Linked DNA regions of Arabidopsis thaliana. Each later gene encodes a partner of the first gene's protein in a complex. Each region holds a gene or a part of one and is shown on either strand. Other genes may lie near its edges. A codon is read from its position in the direction of its gene.

The links. The genes of interacting proteins can lie anywhere in the genome.
Region 2: the proteins of CAB2 (region 1) and TAP38 are in contact, whole or in part, in a crystal structure (PDB 4YZH), measured with the Arabidopsis thaliana proteins. Residues at the interface, in NP_564340.1 of Arabidopsis thaliana: Arg36 (codon at 2,255), Lys37 (codon at 2,258), Thr38 (codon at 2,261), Val39 (codon at 2,264), Ala40 (codon at 2,267), Lys41 (codon at 2,270), Pro42 (codon at 2,273), Lys43 (codon at 2,276), Gly44 (codon at 2,279), Pro45 (codon at 2,282); in NP_194509.1 of Arabidopsis thaliana: Arg69 (codon at 2,517), Asp93 (codon at 2,589), Gly94 (codon at 2,592), His95 (codon at 2,595), Ala96 (codon at 2,598), Tyr201 (codon at 3,149), Trp220 (codon at 3,206), Val222 (codon at 3,323), Asn223 (codon at 3,326), Arg225 (codon at 3,332), Cys227 (codon at 3,338), Gly228 (codon at 3,341), Asp229 (codon at 3,344), Ile230 (codon at 3,347), Ala231 (codon at 3,350), Val232 (codon at 3,353), Arg240 (codon at 3,377), Arg257 (codon at 3,508), Trp258 (codon at 3,511), Phe262 (codon at 3,523), Asp339 (codon at 4,121).

The regions. Positions count from the first base shown.
Region 1 is NC_003070.9:10,473,548-10,478,041, reverse strand, and holds CAB2 (chlorophyll A/B-binding protein 2), read left to right. Parts: upstream 1-2,072; 5' UTR 2,073-2,149; coding exon 2,150-2,953; 3' UTR 2,954-3,386; downstream 3,387-4,494.
Region 2 is NC_003075.7:13,850,739-13,856,403, reverse strand, and holds TAP38 (thylakoid-associated phosphatase 38), read left to right. Parts: upstream 1-2,166; 5' UTR 2,167-2,312; coding exon 2,313-2,626; intron 2,627-2,701; coding exon 2,702-2,830; intron 2,831-2,918; coding exon 2,919-3,024; intron 3,025-3,097; coding exon 3,098-3,208; intron 3,209-3,319; coding exon 3,320-3,399; intron 3,400-3,479; coding exon 3,480-3,533; intron 3,534-3,626; coding exon 3,627-3,743; intron 3,744-3,839; coding exon 3,840-3,894; coding exon of another isoform or gene 3,895-3,898; intron 3,899-3,988; coding exon 3,989-4,021; coding exon of another isoform or gene 4,022-4,030; exon of another isoform or gene 4,031-4,105; coding exon 4,106-4,152; intron 4,153-4,270; coding exon 4,271-4,391; 3' UTR 4,392-4,627; downstream 4,628-5,665. Other genes in the region: AT4G27810 (uncharacterized protein), read left to right, coding at 733-1,236, 1,677-1,763; AT4G27790 (Calcium-binding EF hand family protein), read right to left, coding at 4,916-5,041, 5,171-5,426, 5,518-5,583, 5,664-5,665.

The DNA of each region.
Region 1 (4,494 bases):
ACGTTTAAGATTTGTTGTTGTAAGCCAAGAAATGGGTGGTTTGGTATTGATGCGATTTTCGCTATATATAATACAGAAATCTAAATACTGTCTTATCTTGAAATATCAATCTCTGAGGTTGCTATTGGCTAGTCATAGATTTTTTTTGGGGTTTAGATTGTTTGTTTGCTTACGTGGTTAATGGCTCGCACTTCGCAGATTCGCAATTGATATGTGTTTTAGATATCTAGGTGCGTTTCATGGATTGGCGAAACACCCACTCATGACGTGACACGTATACGAATAGATCTCTCTATCCTTATGAAATCCTGAGAGCATCAATGTAAACCAAAACAAAAAAAATTTGGATAATTGCCTTGTATAATACATTTTATTAAACCTTTTGTATATATGCTTCTTTTTTTTTTCTTCTTCTGATAATAATAATAACTCTTGGCTAGAGATAAAACATAAGAACAAAGTAGATAAAACTATAAAATTTATGTATGGAAATAAGATTATCTAAAACTACGGAATTGAATCAAACTTTACCACAGAAACATAAGAAATTATTACCATCTTAATTAGCACCTGTATTGACCATAATATTTTATTAGAAGAAGAAGAAAACATTGGAATCCACCAGATCAAGGTGATGGTCAGGGTCATAAGACAGCTCCATAATCACGAGTCATGGTCATAGACTCATAGCCACAAGTCTGCTTCTCCCTTACCAATACCAACGGCTTCAACAACGGCCACAACTAATAAGCCAATTCCAACGGCCACCATATAACTGAACCGGATATTCACCAAACCCATTTCAACCGGAAATTGATCCACAAGTAATTAAAAATGTTCTGACCAAATGTGGAATAGGTGGGAAAATGTTGAAGTAAAGGCCAATTCTATAATGTGAGAGGAAAACTCTTTTTTGAGCTTCAGGAATATTTTCTTAGACCTGACCTTGAATCTATATTTTGTAGTTCTTCAATGATTTGATTTCTCTATTCATTTCCTTATAAATTAAATTACTTGTGAAATGAATTTCTGTTTAGAAAAACCTTGAACTTCCTAGTTGACCAAAGGATTAGAAAATCTTTCTAAGTGGAGTGTCTCCTAATAATGGATCAAAAGTGTTTGGAGCAAAAAAGAACGCATAGTGTATTAGTGTTAACAGCTTTTATAGTTCAAAGTTTAGAATGTGCTCTAAAGCATATGTGTGAGCCTGTGAGGTCTAGTGATTGTAAAAAAGAAAAATTGTGCTTCGTGGAAAGTGATGCAATAAACAACACTTCTAGGGCTGAGTAAAACCAACTAGACATGTAATGATAGCTTAAACCGTTTTCTATAGGAGTGTGATTGAGGAGTAATTTGTTGATGAATTCGGAAAAAGCGAATAAATAAGTTTGTTCAAAAGGTTGTTGAAGTTTACAATAAAGATAACTTGAATCATGATAAGAAAAAAAGTAGCTATATGTTCTCTAAAGTCTAAACCCATGATGATGAACATGCCATATGAATTAATATAGTTCTTTCATGTTCTTAGAAATGGTCGATAAGTTAAAACAGTGTTTCATTAATCGTTGTGTTTCTTCGATAAAGAGTAAAACGTCAAAGTTTTAAGGTGATATCACATAATTCATGAGATTATTTTGGTTATTGGATAAAGTGACGATGAAATCGATTCATAATTGAAATTAAACTGGTAGTGATGATGAACTAATTACCATTGAAAATATTGATATTTATGTGTGGGTAAATGCTTTTTATAATGTTACTTTATATTAATGTTTCGATCATCAGAATCTATATTTTCAAAATGTTATACTTTAAGTTTTAGTTATTGGGTTGTAGCAAAAATCATTCTTGTCACGAGGGTGTAAGTAAGTGTAACCGTTGAAGTATTCAGTGGCTCATAACTTGTGGTCACAAAACGCTTGGCTGCAATGAAAAAATCAAAACAAATGCTGGTGGACTAGAGATTGCCACGTAAGACTACTAAACGATAAAACAAAAATCTTAAAATCCAATGAATGAACAGATAAAGATTACTTCAGATATAACAAACGTTACAATATCCCTATATAATCCAACACTATCGAACCAGTTTTAATCACTCTCACTCACAAGTTAGTCATAAAAAAAAAAAAAACACAAAAAAGTTTCAATGGCCGCCTCAACAATGGCTCTCTCCTCCCCTGCTTTCGCCGGAAAGGCTGTGAACCTTTCCCCTGCGGCATCAGAAGTCCTTGGAAGCGGCCGTGTGACAATGAGGAAGACTGTTGCCAAGCCAAAGGGTCCATCAGGCAGCCCATGGTACGGATCCGACCGAGTCAAGTACTTGGGTCCATTCTCTGGCGAGTCACCCAGCTACCTTACCGGAGAGTTCCCTGGAGACTACGGATGGGACACAGCTGGTCTATCCGCTGACCCCGAGACATTCGCAAGGAACCGTGAGCTAGAAGTTATCCACAGCAGGTGGGCCATGCTCGGAGCCCTAGGCTGCGTCTTCCCTGAGCTTTTGGCCAGGAACGGAGTCAAGTTTGGAGAGGCAGTTTGGTTCAAGGCTGGTTCACAGATCTTCAGCGATGGAGGGCTCGATTACTTGGGAAACCCTAGCTTGGTTCACGCTCAGAGCATTTTGGCCATTTGGGCCACACAAGTTATTTTGATGGGAGCCGTTGAAGGTTACAGAGTCGCAGGAAATGGGCCATTGGGAGAGGCCGAGGACTTGCTTTACCCCGGTGGCAGTTTCGACCCATTGGGTTTGGCTACCGACCCAGAGGCCTTCGCTGAGTTGAAGGTAAAGGAGCTCAAGAACGGAAGATTGGCTATGTTCTCTATGTTTGGATTCTTCGTTCAAGCCATCGTCACTGGTAAGGGACCGATAGAGAACCTTGCTGACCATTTGGCCGATCCAGTCAACAACAACGCTTGGGCCTTTGCCACCAACTTTGTTCCCGGAAAGTGAGCCAAGTTCTATCTGTTTGTAATTTACTTTTCTTTCAATCTTTTGAATTCGAGTGAGAGACAGGAGGAGAAAGAGTAGGTTTGTGTTTGTGGTGGATGGTAGAGACTTTCAGATGTAAATTTGCAAAGACTTTGTATGATTTGTCATTAATCAAATAACTCATTGTTCTCTAAATATGTTTCGTAGAACTATAATTGAATTGGATTTTCAGTTCTTGGGTTCACTCCGTTGTAGAGGCTATTTCTACAATCGAGCAACGTGATTGAACATATTAAGGCAATGGGTACAAAGATTATGTTCTTTTCAAATCAAGAGAAAATGTGATTCTCGGATGTTAGCTTGAACAACACGAAAGAGTCTTTTATATAAGTTTTTTATATTCCCTTGATTTAACTTGTATATCGTCTCTTCACAAAATATGATCGCATTGAAGAAGAAATTGCAATCGTTTTTTTTCTTCTGATTGAGAGAATTAGAGAATAGATAATGAAGTAGTTTCTTCCGTGTTTGGTTGATTCTGAAGCTCGTAACATTGGCTCATACGATATCTGGATAACAATATATCACATTGCTCTGATACCATATTAAAATCACATCCACGCATTGAATGGACTGATCATATATCTTACATATTAGTTAAAATCCATTGTCGTGCGAGAGATTGCCTTCCGTGACATCCTCTGTGGACCAGGTTCGCTTGTCACACTAGCTATAATTGGTGAACACATGATAACATATATGTTTGGAGCATAGAAGAGCTAGCGCCTGTGTCATTGGTGTGTGGTATCGAAAGAACAAGAGAATAGAACAGGAGAACATGAATATAGCTAGGTTTATTCATTTTCACCCCAAAGCTTAGAAATTGCGTTCCAAAGAGTGGGTGAATTCATGTGTGAGGGCAATTAGTGATTGTAAAAATAAAATTGTGTTTTGTAAAAAACTTTTACTGTCGAAATTATTTAGGGTGATGAAAAAATCAGTAAACTACGAATGATAGCTTAAAGAGTTTCTATCAAAGTGATTGAGGAATAGTTTGTTGCAAATTAAACCTCTAACAAAATGTTTTCTGTTGTGGTTTTTCATCTCTACAAATTTTGAATTTTATGATGAATTAGAAAGATAGAATGAGTTACTTTAGATTTTAAAAGGTTGTTCAAGTTTACAAAACAGATTACTAGAATCATGATTAAAAATTTACAAGCTACATATTGTCTAAACCAATGATGTTGAACATACCAGATGATAGTTTTTCAGTGTTTGAACAATCAATTGGATAGTTTTTATGTTTCTGCAAAATATGCAAATAATCAGTGTTTTTGAGTCTTTGCATTTTGATTTAAAAGCAAAAACAACTGAGTTTCAAGGTTAAATTAATTACATTATTCATGAGATTTATCAGGTTAGTGGATAAACTGACAATGGAATCAATGTTATTGTAAATTGGTAGTGATGTTGGACTTCTAATGTTACTCTCTATGATGTTTCGGTCATCAATATCACACTATCTTTACTTTTATTTAAAGGAAAGATCACACAAATAA
Region 2 (5,665 bases), on another chromosome or scaffold:
TTTTTGTTTAATGTATATCCATCAAATACAGCCTTGATACTCTCTTTTTGTATGAAAGGCTATTTCGTTTTCGTTGTTTTGAGATAAAGATGGACAATTAATCAGATTTACAGATAGCAAATAATGTGGACTAAACTAGATGAAAAAACTACTATATTACATTTTTGTTTTCAGTTTATATACTACTGCATGTATTACATCTTTAGGCATAACTACGGTCCACAACACACAGATTCGAGGATAAACCTACAACGACCCACCTCTGTTTATTTTAAGATAATTTATTTTTGTCGACGAAGAAGACTTCTTCAGGATTTATATACATTATTTATTGTTACCACTATCGCAGCTCTGATTATCATTGTTTTTTTCTTTATATAATAATAACAATAAATAATGGTATTATTTATAGGCAATAAAGGCTCGACATGAAATTTGAAAGGACCCAACGTTAGGAAAATCGTAATGTAGGACCACCCACCCACTTTGTTTATATTTTCTTCTCTTCTTTGGGATCACTCTCGTGAATAAGAAGCGCCACAAGGAGCGTTTTGTTCATTTTTCTCTTTCAGCTTCATAAAATACTACACACTTCCTCACATTATTCATCCTCTCTTTTCCCTTTTCTTGTGTTCATATAACTCAAACCAAAATATACCGTCTCTATCTATCTAAATCCCAACCCATTTCATATAACGTCAAAGAAAGTTTCTTATTCAGAAAAACAAGGCGATGGATTTTGAATTTGATGATCAAGAACGGTTTTGTGCGACTCCTAAGCTTCCTTTGTTCTCGATTCCATTTAACAGAGCATGTGACACTCCAGGGCTAGCGACGCCGCCTGTGAACATCGCTGGATCAGTACCTTTTCTATGGGAGGAAGCTCCGGGAAAACCTCGCGTCTCTGATGAGAACAAACCGCTGGCTTCCAAGCAGAACGAAAGAGAAGGAGGAGGAGGAGGAGTCGTGCGGTGCCTTGAGCTTCCGCCGAGGCTATTTTTTCCAGCCGATGATGAGCCATCTCCGACCACAGTTCTTGATGGGCCTTACGATGTACCTCGCCGGTCTTTATCAGTGATAAGGAGAAGCGAAAGAGCCTCTGAGGGTAGATTCGAGTTTTCACGTTCCACCAATAGCCGCTGCTGCGACGGTGGCGGCGGTACAACGGTGAAGATTAGTAGAGTTAGAAGAAAAGGAAGCCTCTTGAATCTCTCTCATTCCAAATCGCAATTCTTGGTAAGTTTTGAACACTCATCACCTTTTCTAACATCTTATTTTTAGCTGTCTAATTACACACTCTTACCGGGTAGTTTACTAGTAACTAGCAAGTTAATCGTATTCTTTTGTAGTCAAAGGTAGTCGATGATTCAGAATTGCAAACACTATAATTTTCGTTATCAAAAAAAGGAAAATACATTATTACGTTGTTCAAAGTACCAACCGTTTTATCAAAAATTTCAAACTTTATTCAATGATTTCTAACTCAAAACAAAACTTCAACATTTTTGGGATTTGAATAAATGTCCCTTTTGATTAAAAAGTTTAGGTTTTCCCTTCAAAAGTCTTTGGTTACTCTATATAGTATGGAGTGTTTTTTCAATATGCTTTGTTTTTTTCGGCTTGTGCATATGAATTCATTTTTAGGCTCATTTTGATTACATAATAATAAAATGCAGGCAAGGGTTTACCAAGGATTTAAGCAAGTGATCCCATGGAGGCGGAGACAAGAGAATCTTCCACGGATGAGTTCTTCCAATATTTAAATCAAATCTCTTCGATTTCTTTTATAAATCATTAAATCTTTAGTTAATTTTATAGACTAATATTAATATCCATCTGTATACATATTACCACATAATTTACAGACATGAGGAAAAGTTTATTCTTAACTTTTTACCAAATTAAACCCTGAAACTACACTGTTCCTCTAGATAAATAGGATTATTGTAATTATACTTGAAAAAGGTAAAAGAATAGGGAACATCTTAATTCTTAAATGAAGGAGGACAAGAGCATTATGCAAAACCAAAAATTTATTATACAAAACATAACTACATGACCTTTCTATTTGCAGTTGCTAGCGACAGCAATAATACTTTCCTGAAAAGGAAAGCTATAAAAGTTGATTGATCACGATTTGGGCCTAAGCCCAAAACTTATAAAGTGGACCGTTAAGTTAGTTAAGAAGCCCGCGTTGATTTCTCTTATCCTCAGATATTTTTTTACGAAAATCCACGGCCACTAACCGTAAAGGACACTCTTTTGATTTTTCTCTTCTTCTACTTAACTCGCTTTGCCTGACTCACTGAGTCATGGCGCTTCTGAGGCCGCATCTTCATCGCTTTCACTCCAACACTCTCCGCCACTCAGCCTATCCTTCCGCCGACGCTGGCGGTGGCCTTGTCGTCTATCCCACGTATGGTCGTCACCGTTGCTCCGCGATTGCGATCGACGCTCCGTCGTCTCTGACTGGCGTGACGCCGATTCGTTGGGGTTACACGAGTGTTCAAGGATTCCGAGATGAGATGGAAGACGACATCGTAATCCGTTCTGATGCTGTCGATAGCTTCTCCTACGCAGCGGTCTTCGACGGCCACGCTGGGTCGTCCTCTGTCAAATTCCTCAGGTAACTTGTGTTGCTTCTCATGCAAGCTCTGTCTTCTAGGGTTTAAGTGTTGACGATGGTGATGATGATTGATAGGGAAGAGCTGTATAAAGAGTGTGTTGGTGCATTGCAAGCTGGATCGTTGTTGAATGGAGGCGATTTCGCAGCAATCAAGGAAGCTTTGATTAAGGCCTTTGAAAGCGTTGACCGCAATTTGCTCAAATGGTGAAAATGAGCTTAAATTTCTCAGAGCTTGAATGAATTTTGATGATTTTGAGTGAAATGAAGTGATTCATCATGCGTTTGGATCCAGGCTAGAAGCTAACGGTGACGAAGAAGATGAATCAGGTTCAACAGCCACTGTAATGATCATCAGAAATGATGTTTCCTTCATTGCTCATATTGGTGATTCGTGTGCAGTAAGTCTTCTTATTTATAAATGGATCATTGTAACTTGGTCATGTCTAAAGTCTTGTTAATGCATTGAAATAGGTCTTATCTCGATCTGGGCAAATCGAGGAATTGACTGATTATCACCGTCCATATGGAAGCAGTAGAGCAGCTATTCAGGAAGTGAAAAGGGTCAAAGAAGCAGGTGGATGGGTGTGTCTTCTTATTTTCCATGTTTCAAATTCCTCAAGTATCATTGGATTTGCTTATCTATCTCTCCGAGAATTTGGCTTAAAACCGATTCATTGCTTTTTGTATAATCAGATTGTCAATGGAAGGATTTGTGGAGACATAGCTGTATCTCGTGCTTTTGGTGACATCCGGTTTAAGACAAAGAAGAATGAGTTGGGTTCTTTCTCTTCTCACAACGGCTCTTCTATTTTTATAATTGTTATCTCATTGCTCATAAGGGTTTCATACACAGTATGTTAAAGAAGGGTGTTGATGAAGGAAGATGGTCCGAGAAGTTTGTTTCCAGGTAACGAACTACTTGGAAGCTGTTTCTACTTTTGCTCGTCTCTCCTGTTATTCCATTTCAAGGATATCTGTTTCTCATGAGATAAATTCTCAGAATCGAGTTTAAAGGGGACATGGTTGTGGCGACTCCAGATATCTTCCAAGTACCTCTGACATCTGATGTGGAATTCATTATTTTAGCTTCTGATGGATTATGGGACTACATGAAGAGGTTTCCTTTTCTTTTTCCTCTTTCCCCCATTCAGTCATATGCTTTTTAATTGGGAAAAGTATAGAGCTTACAGTGATCAATGTTTTGCCAATACAGCTCAGATGTGGTTAGTTATGTTAGGGATCAGCTCCGGAAACATGGGAATGTGCAGGCAAGTTTTTATTTCATCTTCTTATCAAATTAGTTTCAATAATCATGTATGACTTTAAGGCTTAACTAGTTTCCTAACTGTCCATATGTAACAGCTTGCTTGTGAATCTCTTGCGCAAGTAGCTTTGGTAAAATAGCTAATACCCTCCTCAGCCTTTCTTTTGATTAGGAATCAAAACTTTCAAATGTACGATTTTGTTCCAACGTTACAGGACCGGCGATCTCAGGACAACATTAGCATCATTATTGCTGATCTAGGGTAGGGGTTCATCTAAACAAAAGTTCCACTGCTATATGAAACCTCTGTATACATTATCTATTAGCTATTCAATCTATATACTCTTAACGTGTTTTGGTTTCGATTTTTGCATAAACAGAAGAACAGAGTGGAAGAATCTCCCCGCGCAGCGACAAAACGTAGTGGTTGAACTGGTTCAGGCTGCAACGACTATCGGTTTAGTTACTGTTGGCATATGGATGTCTTCACATCTATCTTAAGTGAATTGAACATTCTATCTCTTTCGTTAGTGTATATAAAACCTGTAACTATGTCTAACACTCTAGTCTTCCCATAGAAATGGAGATATGAAGATACCTCACAAACAGAACCAGCTTTATATTATTATATATCCCACTTTCACAAGCGTTGAAACTACATTTACAAATAAATGCATCTTCCAACGACTAAGAGAAATTTTTTGAAAAGAAACGCATGGCTCATGCCACAGTTGGTGGTTCCAATTTTTAGCTACTTGATATTTTCTTTAGGCATCTATAATTCTTTTTGTTTTGTGACATTCTCTGGTTTATCATATCACAAAAAAAAAAAAAAAATCTTGACATTGTATTATATACATTGTGGACTCTTCAAAAGCCAACTATCAACGCAACCACGGTGGAATTTGTGCATGTAATCTCGTTGCCTAACAATCTAACATACCCATTCTAGACGAGATGAATTAAGAAGTCAATTGAACAAAAAAAAATTATGATTAAAATTTGAAGGAAAACAAATTCAAAAGTTAGAGTTCATCATGATCAAAATAGTCTTCGTCGTCCAAGTCTTCGTGATGAACTGCCTTGTAAAAGACATCTTCGTGGTGCAACATCTCTTCAAGAGATAGTTTACCATCTTTATCCTCATCCGCCTAACAAAATAATTAAAATTTATTGGACGTTGAAAGTCTAAGCATTATACATATACATCCACTATTAATGAGTTTCAAAGTTGTGAGAAAGAAAACTTAAGATTAAGATTTAGGTTGGGAGAGACTAACCTCGTGGCAAAGGAAAGTAGAATAGAATTTGGCATAACTCATCTCACCAGGTTGAAGATATTGCAAAATGGGTCGAAGCTCATCGGCCACGAGGAATCTGTCTTTGTCTCTGTCCATCTCTGCGAACAGAAGCTGAGGTGTTGGCACATTCTCATCCTCCTCTTTCTCGAACTTTGCGAATTCTTTATACATTTCATATGCATTTTTTACAAACTCTTTGTACTCTAGCTTCCCATCACCGTTCGTGTCCATGCCCCTATATATTATATATATCAAACAACATGTTGTTTCCTAGTTAAGCTTCATTTATGATCATATCGAAACACGATATATCACGAAATGCTTACGTCATTCGCTCCTTTAGAACCCATCTTTGTGTATCTCCGTTTCTGCTGTCTTCAGGGTGCAAGAAACTGCAAATCCCATATTTTCATTCATTTTTTATTTTCGGAAATTTTAAAAGTGATGAGATTTTTCAAGGCATATTAATTACTT